Linked DNA regions of Oryzias latipes. The protein of the gene in region 1 purifies or fractionates together with the protein of each later gene. This does not show direct contact. Links are inferred from orthologs where the notes say so. Each region holds a gene or a part of one and is shown in the gene's direction. Other genes may lie near its edges.

Region 1 (4,650 bases):
CCTGACTTTTGTTACAATTTGTGCGTCCTCATTGACCACTGCTGTTTTTGCAGTTACGTGTTGACCCTCATAACGGACGGCATGAGGAGCGTCCGTGCGTTTCACTTTGACAAAGCTGCAGCCAGCGTCCTGACGACCTGCGTGAGTTCTGCCAACGCTCAGGAGACCAGAGCTGCTCCTTTTTGCTGCTCTTCGGGCTGCACCTGTGCAGCAGGAGCAGTCTTCCATTTCACTTTGTCTGTCTTGGTCAGATGGTGACGATGGAGCCCGGCTACCTGTTCCTGGGTTCCCGTCTGGGAAACTCGCTGCTCCTGAAATACACGGAGAAGCTGCAGGAGGCGCCCGCAGAGGACGGAAATGACAAGCAGGAAAAAGAGAAGCAGGCACGTCTGTGACACAAATACTTTTCTTTTAATTGTGTGGCAGAAATAGAAATGATAAATTCCTTAAGACCATGTCTACCTTTCAGGAGGAACCCCCCAACAAGAAAAAGCGAGTGGAGTCTTCCAGCAACTGGACTGGTGCGTTCGCTGTCGCCTGGTAAAGTTTCTCCGTGTCTGGCTCTGCAGGCTGCTCTGCTTCATACTTCTTTGTCTTGTCAGATGAGGTGGATGAGATCGAGGTTTATGGAAGTGAAGCCCAGTCAGGCACTCAGCTGGCCACCTTCTCCTTTGAGGTAAAAAAGTTGGCTTCTATCTCCTCTGTGCAGAGGATCTGCAGAGTTCTGCTCTGCCTACATTTTGAAGAAGCTCCTGTGCCTGCAGTTCCTTTAAGCTGACCTGTGTGTTCACTAACACACAGGTTCTTCAATGCAGTAAACTATATTTGTCACCAAAAATACTTTTTGAGTTCCAACCATTTGTATCAAATTTCTGACACCCATGATCCAAAGTTTCCTTAAAAACTAGTGATGTTGCTAAAGCTGTGACGGTGTGGGATTTTTGATCACTGCGGTGATGAACCAGCAGAGAGGCGGTGTCTCGGTCTCTGGTGGTAGGTTGGCGCCAGTGTTCGGCAGCGGAGCCGCCACCAGTGTGTGACTGTGTGTGTGACTGTAAACAGCTTTGGGCCTTGTAGGTAGAAAAGTGCTTTATAAGTACACGCCATTTAGCATCCAGGTCATCTTAATCCAAAACTTCAACCAGTGAGACTCAGAGAGAAATACCTGGACAGTGCAGGGGAAGTTTTCCAGATTCCTTGGATTTCTTCTAGATAGTCAACGGTAAAGTTTTTTGCCAGGCCCCCCCTAGGGAAAAGAAAATGTAGAATAATAAACTTATCAAAATCCAAATAGTATTTTCTGATATCGATGTGTAAACTCATAAAGCAGCACCTGGACAGTGAGCTGACTGAAATATCAAGCCAATGGATGAAGCTCAGCCTCCTTCGTTCAGTAGAGGATTTCTTGTGTGAAGTGTGTGTTTTTTTTTTTGTGTTTCCCTACAGGTTTGCGACAGCATACTCAACATTGGACCTTGTGCGAATGCTTCCATGGGTGAACCTGCTTTTCTCTCTGAAGAGGTAGACACTTTTGGAACCCATGCAGACGACTCTCTGTTTCTACATTCATCCACCTAAATGTCACTTTTCCCACAGTTTCAGAGCAACCCTGAACCCGACTTGGAGATCGTTGTTTGCTCTGGCTACGGCAAAAACGGTGCTCTGTCCGTCTTGCAGGTATCTCTGTCTGCTCTGAGTTTGTTTACACACCTGATCGGTGTCCCGCACAGTCCTGAAACCTGTGGTGGCGAGGGCCGTCTGCCACAGGTCCTGAGACGGTGCTACAGCACGGTCTGGGTTTACCACGGCTGCCTCAGAGATCCACGGAGCAGCCAGTAAACACCCCAGGCACATGTTCACGCCCCCTGTCTCTTTCAGGAGATTTCTTGTTATCCTTTTGCTTTTTTCTTCTCAGAGAAGCATCCGACCTCAAGTAGTCACTACGTTTGAGCTGCCAGGTTGCCACGACATGTGGACGGTAATCTCAGGGGAAGACAAGAAGGTACGCTCAACAGAAATACGCTTCCTGCTGCGCGGCTGTCGCTTTGGTTTCTTAGTCTGTAACTTTATGATTTCCAGAGCGGCAAAAATGAGGAGTCGGAGGATGGAGGGAAGGTGGAGACAGAAGAGGAGAGTGAAGGAGGAGAAAAGGAAGCGGACGCAGAGAAGAAAGAAGAGCAGGATAAGACAGAGCCTCCTCTGGAAGACGATGCAAAGAAGCACGGCTTCCTCATCCTGAGCAGAGAAGATTCAACCATGGTAACAGAAGAAACATTCAGTCAACATTCAGATTCTGGAACCAGGAAAGGAGAAAAAAGGTTTAATGAAAGGAAAACCTCTTTCTCTTTAAGATCCTGCAGACGGGTCAGGAGATCATGGAGCTGGACACCAGTGGCTTTGCCACTCAGGGACCCACTGTGTTTGCTGGAAACATTGGAGATAACCAATACATCATCCAGGTCTCCCCCATGGGACTTCGGCTTCTTGAAGGAGGTGAAATGAGGCTGCATCCATTTAGTGTTGAAGACAAATACATCCCAGAATATGAGCCTGAAGAGTGTTTGATGGAAGCCCCTCTAACTCTCATTTCACCTTTCAGTGAAGCAGCTTCACTTCATCCCAGTGGATCTGGGATCTCCCATAGTTCATTGCTCTGTGGCGGACCCGTACGTCGTTATTATGACCGCAGAGGGCGTGGTCACTATGTTTGTGCTGAAGAGTGACACTTACATGGGGAAAACACACCGACTGGCTCTGCAGAAACCTCAAATTTCCACGGTGAGTGGAATGTCCTTTAGGTTCTGTGGTTGCCCCCCCTGCTGGCCAATAAAAGCTGTTGCACTTCTTGCAAGCGTTTGAAACCCTCTCGCCCCACAGCTATCTCGAGTGATCGCTCTGTGTGCGTATCGAGACGTCAGTGGGATGTTCACCACAGAAAACAAATCCAGCTGCTCCTCCAAAGAGGACCTCATCCTCAGGAGCAACTCTGAGACAGAGACAGTCTACCAGGACCTCAGGTAGGAGGCACATGCTCTCCAGAACCTCCCACTGCTCCTCCTACTTATGGGCAGCAGTCTGATGACCTCTCCTGTTTTTGTGCAGCAACACAGTGGATGATGAAGAGGAGATGCTGTACGGCGAGTCCGGCGCCAGCATGGCAGCCGGGAAAGAGGAAATGAGCCGCGGCTCTGCAGCAACAGCGCCCCCTGGGGGTGAGGGTAGCGCGGGCAAAGCCGAGCCTAGCCACTGGTGTGTGCTGATCCGGGAGAACGGCGTAATGGAGGTATGTCTGCCTGGACCCTCCGTTCAGGTGCTCTGATGGCAGGAAATGTGAGGTCGAAGTGAGCCCTTAAACTCTGTCCTTTCTTACCTGTCAATCAAAAGGCCACACCTACATCTGTGTGCAACTTCGAGTTGTTACGGAAAAGCATGAGGCTCATAATAGTTGTCTTTTTCAGTGACTATAACAGACTGTAACTGTAACTCATTAGTTTTTATTTCACAGGTGTTTCAAACAGGAAGTGAAAGTGTTTTGTCATCCTTCTGCAGCATTTGTCAGCGCTCTTAGATTAAGCTACTGGGAAACTTGTTTAAGTCTGTTGTGCTTCATTTCATTGACTCTTTGTGGGGCAGATTTACCAGCTGCCTGACTGGCGGCTGGTCTTCCTGGTGAAGAACTTCCCGGTGGGCCAAAGGGTGCTGGTGGACAGCTCTTCTGGACAGTCAGCGACACAGGGAGACGGGAAGAAGGAGGAAGTCACTCGACAGGGAGAGATCCCGTTGGTCAAAGAGGTGGCTTTGGTTGCTCTCGGCAACAATCGCAGCCGCCCGTATCTGCTGGTGAGTTTTTCCCCTGGGCTGATCTCCATCTCTGTGTTGGATCTGTGGAAGACCGAAGGCCCTTGCTGTCTCAGGTCCACGTGGAGAACGAACTTCTGGTCTACGAAGCGTTCCCGTACGACCAGCAGCAGCCGCAGAACAACCTGAAAGTCCGCTTCAAAAAGGTGAGTCTGGAGCGGAGTAGCGGCTGCTTCCAGCGAAGCGTCTGATGGCGTTTCTCCTCCGGCTCAGGTGCCCCACAGCATTAACTTCAGAGAGAAGAAACCCAAGCTGAAGAAAGACAAGAAGGCGGAGGGCGGAGGTCCTGAGGAAAATGTGGCTGTGAAGAGCCGAATTTCCAGGTTCCGGTACTTTGAGGACATTTCTGGATACTCTGGGGTACAAACTAAAGTCCATTTGGAATTTACCCAGAAGGGTTAGCTCCTGATACATGTTGTTTCCTCAGGTGTTCATCTGTGGCCCATCCCCCCACTGGATGTTGATCACCTCTCGAGGAGGGCTGAGGCTTCACCCCATGACCATCGACGGACCCATCGAGTCCTTCTCCCCCTTTCACAACATCAACTGCCCCAAAGGCTTCCTCTACTTCAACAAACAGGTATGTGCTTCAACGGGACGCCTCCAAACATTCTCTCTGGGTCTCCAGCGTCCAGCTGTCGGATGGGTGCAACGGCTCCTTCACAGGGCCTCATTGCTTAGGCGGAACACCGAAGCTCCAGCTGCGTGGCTCCTCACTCGCATCCGTCTGTGGCATCATGGAGCTGCTTCAGTTCCTCTGCAGCCTGACGGAACCTCCAACACCAGAACATT
Region 2 (5,154 bases), on another chromosome or scaffold:
AAAAAGATTTAATGGAAAGGACTGACTAAAATGCTTTTCTTTTTTGGGTTTTTCTTCGATTACTTACAAATGCAGAGTGCCTGCGTTTCAGCGTGCCAGTGCACTGTTGCCTCCAGGGCCTCCACAGGAGGAATCCCAGCAAATACAGCACAAACATTGATGTCTTGGTAAATGTGCTAAAAAAAGGTTTGTTGTAATCCTGACGCTTGAAAATGTACTGATGGAATAAAGAGAAGGAAAATGGGTATTAGGGTTTTCATTTCACTAAGTGGCAAACAACCACATTTGAATTGAGGTTTCTGTAGTTAACTCAATCCCCATTCAGGGCTACTGTGGATGCATCCATAATAAACCAGATTAAATGTAGAAAATAAATCCTTTTTTCAGTGCTACCTTACCCAAATTCTTCCATATATATTTTTTTTTGTCTGTTTCATCAATGTCAAATCTTTAATGTTTACTGAAGCTATGCTGTAAAAAGCCAGAAGAAATGCACATACAGATGTTTTGGAAATACATTTTTTACAAATAGAATTTGAGTCAACTCGAGGAACTGGCTTAGTCAGTTTGGATTTGCCAAACTTTGACTGATTCGAACTTAAACTACTCTAATTCCTGTAAGACTTTGTTAAGATACTGTGAGGACGTTCTTGTGTGTTTGTCTCAGTAGAGTTTTGTTACACACTAAATGACAACCCACAGACAGCTGACAGACTGTCCTTACTGAGGTTAGCTCGGAGGAAGCCACCCAGATGACATCCACCAGAAGGAGTATCACCACCCCTAAGGCCATCCTCCTCCGCTGGGCTGTAGAGCTTCCCTGAGAGCTCATCCGGTTCATGATGAAAACCCACTCCATTGAGACCCTATAACAGACACATGACATAGAGGGGAAAACGAATATGATATTTTTTCCCTCTTTTTATTCTACTGTATGCTTTGCTGGAGGGACAAGGCAACAATGCCACTGTACATTGCTCTAAAGGTACAATTTATAAGAATATACCATGACAGATTCATATAGACTTTTAAGACAAGGTAAAAATGAAAAAAAGTTCCTTAAGACTGGGAAACCAGTCAAAGGCCTTTCCTACAGGTTTTTCCAATGAAGACCGTGGTTAACTTAACTAACACGTTGCAGGAAATACGCTTGTAAAGCATCACTAACAACAATACTCATAAACGCGTGTTACAAGTGATGATGTGCGTGTTTTCTACTAGACCTCCGCCTCTTTAAACAAAAATTCTGTTGCATGTTCATGTGGCAATGAATGTAAAACATAAGTGGTCCCAATGAGAATCAAAACTATGAGCACGAAACCGTCTGCAATTTAAAGATGTAAAATTAACTGATTTATTACGATACGACGTTCTGTATATTAAAAACAAAATAAGCACAGTTTTTACTAGCTGTATCCAAAACAAGCTTCGCAGTGGTACGTTTTAGCTGCCTGTTTTCCAAGCTAACTAAGAGCTAGTAAAATGTCCTACAAACAAAGTAACAAAAGCAATAACAGCGGCGTGTTCACCCGAATGCGAGGCGTATTCATTCACTTTTCTTCATTAGTTGATGTCCGATTGATCTTTTACATTACTGTTTCTAAAAAACAACACGTTTTAAACGAGAATATTTTACCACTCCAGCGGTTGTAAACATAAGCACTTCCTTGTCTTGTTATTAGCATCAGGTGACATCACTTATCCCGCTAAGCCTCATGGGACTTGTAGTTAAATGGTGATCGATTAAAAACATTTGAAATGTGTCTATGGCACATATTTTGTTTCCCATGTGATGTAAACAATACTAGTGTTCTTATTAATAGTTAAAAAATAAATAAACAAAAATAGCTTAGAGGCACACAAATCCAGCAGGAGGCGCTGCTTTTATTTGAGTATCCGAAAACAGCCGAAGAAGAACCGTACCATAGCTTCTTCGATGAAATATGGCGGTAGCTTTGTTTGCTTGCTAGCAAAGTTAATTCATATATTTAATAAGTACTAAAACAAGGCAAATCTTGTTGTCTAATAGATCATATTTGTAATTACCCGTTTAATACAAGAGTTAGTGTATCTATAACGCAGTTGGCTTAGTAAAGTAGATTATTATTTTATCGTTTTGGCTAACCTAATGTTACGAGCTAACTAACTGGATTCATTCTCATCATTCTGGTAATCGTGTAGGTAAGTTAGAAAAAAATACTGACTTGCGTATTGAAATTTGTTTATTTAAGTATTATCAATTGAATATGTGTTTCTGTAATACATACGAATGTTTGTAGTCTGACTTAAAACGTTCAGTAATTTGAATTAAAATATAGATGTTATGCGTAATTCTCGTATTGTTATGTATGCTCTAAATTATTATTATTATTTCTGTTTTCCTTTCAGGATCATGCAAGATTATTACTGACTGGAACATCAGCAACATGGACATTTCTTCTAAGGCGGAGGACACTCCGAAAGGGGTCGATATGACCACCAGTGAAAAGGTCTGTACAATTAGCACAAGATGAAAGATTTGTTTACAATCTCAGGGACAACAACACAATCTGGAGGTAGCAGACTTTAAAACAGAAATATTTTAATCTGAAATTGTTCATATAAAGCATTTTAAGTCTTAAAATATACATCTAGAAACACAACAAATCATTAAATGCTTTTTGTGTGATGCAAGTTAAATCTTGATCTTGCTATCTAAACATTCTTTATTTTTTAATCTGCCATCGATTTTGTTCTGATAAATTGCAATATATAAGAAATATTTACAATTGCTGCAGTTTAATCTAAATGGGGCTGTAGTCTACATTTGCAGTTGTCTGGGGTTAATAGCTAAGAACACCTCATTTGGCTCAAACATGCTATATAGTAGAAATTATGCTAATATTTTTTGGCTGGTTAGCCTCTTATTGTAGCGTTGTAGAGACTTACTCTGGTTCTTTCTTTTCTCAGGTGGTGGAGCTTCTGAATCAAGCTTCTCTCATACCCACTGATGAAAAGCTGACTGCTCTCAAACAGGTTGGTAGTGTAAATCTGTGCAGTTTAGATGACTGCTACACAGCAGCACCGACTGAGGTGCTGATGAGGTGGTTGTAAGAATTTGAAGTCACGCGTTTGAATTTCCTTTAGGTTCAAGAGCTCATCATCAACAAGGATCCGTCCCTTCTTGACAACTTTTTGGATGTAAGTAAGCACCTGCCTTTCATGGCAAAGGAATGGTAAGCGTGTAAGTTAAAATCGGCCCAGTCATGTTCTTGTATCTTGCCAATTCTATTTTACAGGAAATAATAGCGTTTCAGACCGACAAATCAATAGAAGTGAAAAAGTTTGTCATTGGATTTATAGAGGAAGCATGGTTAGTTGTTTGTGTCAACATTTTACATCTTATACACTTTTAAATGTATGTATATTTATTGAAACTCTTTTTTTTTTATATCTATTTCCCAACTAGTAAAAGGGACAATGAGCTCCTTGTTAGACTTATCGCCAATCTAAACATGCTGCTGAAGGATGAAAGTGTAAATGTGGTGAAGAAAGCCATTCTGACACTCACTCAGCTCTATAAAGTAACATTACAGGTATGCACCTTAAAGTCACTCGCATAATTTCCTGCTAAAATAATAGGAATACGGTGTTTTTATGTTCCCACATCTTCTGTTGTTTCTTTTCTGCCAGTGGTTGGTCAGCTCAAAAACACTGTCAGAAATGCAGGAGGCATGCTGGGACTTGATCACTCAAATGAAAGGGGAAGTGTTGGCCTTGCTGGACTCCGACAATGATGGTGTTCGCACACACAGCATCAAATTCACAGAATCTTTAATCATCACTCTCTCGCCGCGGACACCTGACTCTGATGTACCCAAACGCCAGGATGCTGACATTAGCCTTGACAAAGTTCCCAAAGACCATTCGTACATTCACTACGGTAAAGATTTTAGAACTCTCTTTTTTTTTTCTTTTTTTTTTTTTTAAACAGGCATGTTAAAATCTTTCTTACTGCAGGATAGATTTATTACATTCTGTTGAATCAACAGGTACTTTGTGTGAAGAAGGAAAGAGTGCACTGGAAAAGCTCTTAAAATTCATGGTCCACCCAGCTATATCCAGCATTAACCTCACCACTGCATTGGGTTCTTTGGCAACGATTGCCCGTCAAAGACCAATGTTCATGTCAGAGGTGGTGCAAGCATATGAGACCCTCCACGGTGAGTGCTTCTTAGTCAAAAAAATATATATTATCCCCTTAACATTATTATTAAGGTGCAATCATTAATATTTATCTTTTTTTCTAGCTAACCTTCCCCCCACTCTGGCCAAATCTCAGGTTAGCAGTGTTCGAAAAAACTTAAAGCTGCACTTGGTGGCAGTTCTCAAACATCCGTGCAGTGTGGAGTTCCAGGGTCAGATCAGCACTTTGCTGCTGGATCTGGGAATGCCTCAGACTGAGATAACTCGAAACACTCCTGTACCACGAGAGCCTCGCAAGAGGCCTCGCTATGAGCAATACACAGAGGGAAAGAAGGTCAAGATTGGTGAGTAGTTCACCACAAAAATGCAGACTGCCTTAGAAAATAACATTTTTATAAAAAAAAAACAGTCTTTAAAGGACTTGTTGAAAGATTACGAGTGTTTGTTTTCTTGCCATCACTTGCAGAGGCTGTAACTTTGCTTTACTTAGTTTTTCTTTCTGCACAGGTTAGTCTCTATTGCAGCAGCATCACACCCAGAGATTCTTTAGATTACTGTGTGGTGACTCTGTAGTTTTAGATTGACTAATAGAAATAGAATTTTAGATTCAAAATTTTAGGTTATTCTTGCTCTTTTCTTAATTCCCCCACGGTTTATATTTTAATGTTTCATTTTGTGCTATCAGTGTGGATTATAAATTCACTATGGATTTGTTTTAATTTGTGACAACAATTACAGACATTTTTTGAATTTAAAACATATTTTGGGTACTCCGATCCCGTTTCATTACAGGTTTTCTTTTCTTCTTCTTTTTTTATTCCAATAATGTTGTTTTTGGGAATATTCTGAATGAAATTAGCATAACTCATGTCTAACCATATTTGGGCATCGGAGGCCTATAAAAATTGCTTTTGCAAAGACACATGGTTTCTTTATTTATTATGGTTTTTTAAAATTGCTTTTGCAAAG
Region 3 (5,386 bases), on another chromosome or scaffold:
GTCTTTTAATTGTGATTATGTTGTTTTTAGCTTAAATTAAAAAAAACATCAGTTTTTTCTAGGACATATTTTAACCTCTAAGTTTTGGCAGGACTATCGGCACAGAGCAACCCCACCCCCCTTCCCCTTCCCGTTGCTGAGAGTTCGGAGAAAGGAGCTTGTGGCCTTCCCAGCATATTTTGTAATTCACAAATACAATCCTTTTCAAATTACTTTTTTTGTGTGCTCCTGATTTACAAGAATTTGAATAAAGAAATTCTCAGAAACGCTATTTTTTTTAGCTTAATTATCTTAATATATGTTCTCATCCATCAGAAAAAGGCCATAAGGTGTTCAAAACATCCAAACCCTGAGTGTGTCTTTAAGTCTTACTGTTGTCCCTGGACATTTTTTGTGGATCTTCTGCAGGGCCTTTACATGTTTGCTGTTTTCATGTGTGCAAGGCTGTGATGAAGCTGCTACACATCGTGAGGAGGTCACATCAATGGACTCCCTCCTACACTCCCGTCAACCAGGATGCTCCTGCCAAACAACTCCGGGGCTCGCTGAAACCTACGCAAATGCTCCTGCACATAATTAACACACAGAAAACACAACAGTGTCACAGTGACTAACAGAAAGAAAGTCACAAGACAGCCAGGAACCAAACCAACTGCTTTCACACTGCAACAAGACAATGGTTGTGATGATGCTGTACATCAAATGAGCAAAATGGATAAAAGATGGAATTTGAAAACATAAATATAAGAAATAAAGATGAAAGGTAATGAAAATCAACAGCAAAAATAGAAACCAATGAGAGAAACTGGAGAAGAGGGAGAGAGTGAGTAAAATAAATGCAATTTCTATTATCAGTTTAACGGACAGAGCATTAGGATCCCTGTCTAACGCTCTCTGGAGTGTAGGTGCATGTGTGTGCCCTTAACTGTGTTTAGAGAGCCACACGTAATTCTCACATATGATGTGATACAGCAGATGCTGGTGATATCAAGCCCTGGCTCAGATAGAGTGAGGAAAATCAATACAGCTACAACTATGATGTTACCACCTTTCTCCCCCCCTACCCTCACACTGAAAAAGTGAGGACCACAAATTGTCTCCTAGTGATTTTTTATTGCAGGCCAATCAGTGCATATGTCCATGTTGTGCATGACTGTTGATGTGAGCGCTGCATTGAGTAAGTGATAGCAGAAAAAGGGGAGAGGAGAGTGAAAGAATCCAAACATTTACATTAATTTGCTGAAAACCTAAAGAAGCCCTACTCAACTGGCCATAAATGCATTAACAGTCCTTTTTACATTAGCAAACACAGTGGGAATCTTGAATGCTTCTTGATGCCATAAAGTGGTTGAAGTTGCAAGGAAGTGGGGAAAAATAATAAATATATTATGGCTATTTATAAATTATAAATAAAATAAGAACTTTTTAAAACAAACATGTATTTAATCAGAAACTTGGTTCAAGAACAAAACTTTGCATCTGTGTTCATAATAGCATTTAATGCAAGAGTTGTTTTTTTGTCCCCGAATCTAGAATCACTTAGTTTCCCCAAACTTTGCAAGGTAGAACTCATTGATGTCATGAGTAAAAGTTGCTCTCATAAGACAACACTTTTAAACTATTTTTTTATTTTGTTTGTCACCCATCCATGATACAAAGTTATAGTAATATTATTACATGTAGTTTGTATGATCAATCTTCCAACTCAGCTCAATCCATTTCAGGGTTGCAGGGTTGCTGGAGCCTATCCTGCTAACTATGCGGCGAAGGTGGGGTCATGTCAGTCATGGGCATGTAGTAGATATAACTTAGTTTTTGATTTTAAATAAAGTAAGTTTAGTCAGTACAAAAACAAAAAGTTGAATCCCAATTCTGTCCTGTTGGCCTTATTAATGACCCAAATAGCTGCCATCAGTGCAAGAAAGTGCTTTTCCCCTCATCAAGTGCTATATAATTGCATACTATTTACTATTTTGAAAGTAAAATTGCTAGAGTTTTTTCAGTTTCAAGCTCTGAAAAGTGTGTGGGGTAAAAACTAGGGCAACCGACAACATTAAAGGTTTTCTCTCCATTGGGACACATGGCGCTAAATCATCCACTCCAGTAGGGGGCGCTCTGCTTCAGTTGTACACCGTTGCTGAGCTTCTGCAGGACATTCTCCGGAGTCTCTTCCGGGTTCACGACTCGTAGACGTCTAAATGGATCTGAAAGAACCCAATTCATGCGTATATTAATAAAAAAATAGCGTCCTCCGAAAAGTAGGACTTTGTAATAATTCTCAGTGGTACTCTTTTGTTGGTGGTTTTTCGTAGGGTCTCGCTTATACTTTCAGCTTTTCTGAGCTGGGCGAACATGTCTGCGGAGGAGGCGGACAAAACGACCACCACCGATGCTAGCGCCGGGGACGAGGAGGAGGAATGGTTGTATGGAGGTAAATCAATTAACTACAAGGAAATGCAAGTGTCGCCTAAAATGACCGACATAAAAAACAACAAAGTAATTGTAGTTGGTTTAACTTCAAATTAGACTGGAAGGTAAAGCAGTTTAAAAAGTGCGCTGTCTGTCTGTGCTAGCTGGGTAGCTAGTTAGCAATCTGCGCTTTGGCCTTAAGCAGAAAGATGACTTAAAAGCAAGTTATAAATATATATTTTTTTATTATAATTATTATGAGCTTTACATTCTTTATCACTCTGCCATGCGTGTTTTTTCTAGGGCTTTTGCGTACACAGTCAATGATATCAAGTCATATTAGTTTACATGTGTTGTTATCCGCCCGGTGATAATTAATGTTTCTTTTCAGATGAGTCCGAGACCAAAGAGGAGGATGAAGAAGGAGCAAAGTTAAACACGGATGTCGGGTAAAACACAAACACCATTGAATATCATTTACAAAAAGAAAAAGAGAACCATTTTGATAATTTAGGGGAATTTTCCCAAAACAATGACTGTTTTACATGTTTACATGTACATGATGTAGCCGTTTAGCAGAAGCTTTGCGTGGTCTTTTTTTATGTGATAAATGCTTGTAAAATGTGGGTGTATGAATTGAATTTCTTTAACTTATGTCAGGTAGGTGAACCCTTAAGTTTGATTAAATTCTAAATACATTACATCAAAACTCAAGACTTTTTAGCTCTAAAACTTTGATCGGTTATTTCATTTTCCAGTTAAACATCTGACATAAAATTATATCATTAGTAAATCTCTTAAAATAAACCATCATTGTGGAAATTAGGACAAATAAAACCAAGACCTTTTGTTGTTGTTATAGAAAGCTTTACAGCATGTCTAACAGTTTATTAATAAACCTGCAGTGCACCAGCTGATGCTCAAGCAGAAGATGCTGCTCCTGAACATGCAACAGGAAACGGAGTTGCGTCTGAGGTAGCCTGTTTTTATTTGTTTCTCTCCACCTGTCTTTTTTTCCTGCATCTTTACTAAATTGGAGGCTTTTTTTTCTCTTTTTCCCGACATTTCAGGCCACTGGTGAAACTGCTGGTGAGGATGTAGAAAGTGACAGCGACAGCGATGATGACGACGATGACGTCCGCGTTACCATCGGTGACATTAAGACCGGAGCACCACAATACACGTAGGTTTGAGTCCAGTGGAAATATTTACAGTTTCTCGTAGTAAATGTTTTTGTATGAAGCTGTTTTCTTGTTTTTAATTAATGGCAAGAAGAAATGTTTTGTTGTTTTTCGTTTTTTCTTATCCTTTTAAGTTCTAACCTTTTTTTTGGCTTCAGATGGCTTTATTGTGGAAAAGACACCGGTGTCAGAAGGTGTTACTTTTGATTTTGGACTTTCAGCAAAACACAGGCAGAACAGAGATGTAAAAAAAAATAAAAAAATCTCCGGTTTCCTTCCTGCATCTGCTGGGTTTCTTGTTTCCTGTCAGGCTATGTTGTTGTTTGGGGACATAGAGATGTCTTCTGAGTTGACGTGTTGGAAGTATTTAGTGACCCTAACTTTAGCTGTTAATGTTGCATAAAAATGTGAAGGCTTGAATTTTTGAAACAATTTCTGTATTCAATTTTATTCCATAAAATTTGATGTGGTTTTCTTTTTTGAATTAGTTTTAATGGACCTGAGTGTTTTTTTTTTATACAGGTTGTAAAAGTCAAATGATCTTTGGTTGCAAACCCAGCAATAATCTGTTGAATTTTAGCGATGGATTTGTGATTATTTATTTTACAGTAACTGAATAATCGTGGTAAATGTATTCATGCCAAAAAAAACCTGGCCTGCATTATTTTTTGTATTTTATTAGATAATTAATAAGTATTCTATTTTTGTTGCAGGACTTACGGCACTCCACCTGTTAACCTCAACATAAAGTCAGGCTCCAGACCTTATGGACAGGGTGCGTCTCCAAGCTGTTGCAACAATTATTTTCAGTTGTGTTTGAACAATATTCCTCTTCTTTCTTACTTTGTAAGCATTCAGCAGCATTTATTTTGGTTATTCTCAGTGTCTTCAAAGCTGAAAGGGGTGGATCTTGATGCACCAGGAAACATCAATGGCGTCCCGGTGCTGGAGGTGGACGTGGAGTCCTTTGAAGAGAAGCCCTGGAGGAAGCCAGGTTTGTAAAAGTCAAGTAAAATGGTTTTAGCTATACTTTTTAGGGTTATTACTGTCTTTACAAATTAAAAAAAGATGGATAAATGTGATGCAATAAAAACAATTTCGTCACTATAAAACATCAGCTCTGCCTTTTTTTTAGATGAAAAGCCATTGATAGTCTTTAAATATTGTAAAAAAAACAACATAAGGACTAAAGCATCTTTGGGTATTCATTTTTATTTTTTTAGACTTTCTCTATACTTAACGGTCTTAAAAAGGTAGAAATATCATCTTCAGTCACTGAAAGCGTCTTTCTGTGTGCAGGAGCGGATCTGTCCGACTACTTCAACTACGGCTTCAACGAGGACACCTGGAAGGCATACTGCGAGAAACAGAAGAGGCTGCGAATGGGTCTGGACGTCTCGACAGTCGGATCTGTGACCAGCAAGATCACTGTGAGACACAGCTATGAATTGTATTCCTGTTCTTTAGCCCACACCCTTCAAACTCCGGCCATACATGTAATCAGCAGCAGGTCAGGCGGATTTCTCGAGAAACCGACTGGATGCTTGAGGCCTGGAGTCTGACACCTCTACTTTAGCTCAAAGCCCTGATTAATCCAGACTTTCATATTTATGAAACTGTTCTTCCTGCTGAAAGGTTTATTTTGATTAGATATTTTTAAAAGCATGAGGGTTTCGTATTTTGATCTAACCTGAAGAACAAAAGGTTTCATGTTTATTGCGTTTTCAGTCTGTGCTGTGTGGTTACAGTAGCTAAGATGTTGATTTAAGGCTTTGTGGTGAATGAACATCCATCCA

The links. Proteins that work in one complex are often made in the same cells at the same time.
Region 2: the proteins of cpsf1 (region 1) and sympk fractionate together in Homo sapiens (co-fractionation; 5 studies listed by BioGRID and IntAct, with this or other methods). This does not show direct contact. The link is inferred for Oryzias latipes from reciprocal best matches to the Homo sapiens genes CPSF1 and SYMPK.
Region 3: the proteins of cpsf1 (region 1) and pre-mRNA 3'-end-processing factor FIP1 fractionate together in Homo sapiens (co-fractionation; 8 studies listed by BioGRID and IntAct, with this or other methods). This does not show direct contact. The link is inferred for Oryzias latipes from reciprocal best matches to the Homo sapiens genes CPSF1 and FIP1L1.

The regions. Positions count from the first base shown.
Region 1 is NC_019869.2:25,053,005-25,057,654, forward strand, and holds part of cpsf1 (cleavage and polyadenylation specificity factor subunit 1), read left to right. Parts: intron 1-53; coding exon 54-141; intron 142-251; coding exon 252-383; intron 384-469; coding exon 470-521; intron 522-602; coding exon 603-676; intron 677-1,446; coding exon 1,447-1,521; intron 1,522-1,596; coding exon 1,597-1,677; intron 1,678-1,915; coding exon 1,916-2,002; intron 2,003-2,079; coding exon 2,080-2,259; intron 2,260-2,351; coding exon 2,352-2,493; intron 2,494-2,599; coding exon 2,600-2,778; intron 2,779-2,877; coding exon 2,878-3,017; intron 3,018-3,102; coding exon 3,103-3,283; intron 3,284-3,633; coding exon 3,634-3,840; intron 3,841-3,914; coding exon 3,915-4,004; intron 4,005-4,071; coding exon 4,072-4,218; intron 4,219-4,285; coding exon 4,286-4,438; intron 4,439-4,650. UniProt on the Homo sapiens protein: Component of the cleavage and polyadenylation specificity factor (CPSF) complex that plays a key role in pre-mRNA 3'-end formation, recognizing the AAUAAA signal sequence and interacting with poly(A) polymerase and other factors to bring about cleavage and poly(A) addition.
Region 2 is NC_019879.2:16,690,978-16,696,131, reverse strand, and holds the start of sympk (symplekin), read left to right. Parts: upstream 1-1,917; 5' UTR 1,918-2,181; intron 2,182-2,388; 5' UTR 2,389-2,426; coding exon 2,427-2,489; intron 2,490-2,949; coding exon 2,950-3,015; intron 3,016-3,126; coding exon 3,127-3,180; intron 3,181-3,278; coding exon 3,279-3,352; intron 3,353-3,448; coding exon 3,449-3,575; intron 3,576-3,672; coding exon 3,673-3,922; intron 3,923-4,031; coding exon 4,032-4,202; intron 4,203-4,289; coding exon 4,290-4,529; intron 4,530-5,154. Other genes in the region: slc35f5 (solute carrier family 35 member F5), read right to left, coding at 68-217, 725-866, 1,637-1,695. UniProt on the Homo sapiens protein: Scaffold protein that functions as a component of a multimolecular complex involved in histone mRNA 3'-end processing. Specific component of the tight junction (TJ) plaque, but might not be an exclusively junctional component. May have a house-keeping rule.
Region 3 is NC_019859.2:11,139,560-11,144,945, reverse strand, and holds the start of pre-mRNA 3'-end-processing factor FIP1, read left to right. Parts: upstream 1-2,149; 5' UTR 2,150-2,352; coding exon 2,353-2,431; intron 2,432-2,800; coding exon 2,801-2,858; intron 2,859-3,314; coding exon 3,315-3,384; intron 3,385-3,479; coding exon 3,480-3,592; intron 3,593-4,303; coding exon 4,304-4,365; intron 4,366-4,473; coding exon 4,474-4,584; intron 4,585-4,889; coding exon 4,890-5,020; intron 5,021-5,386.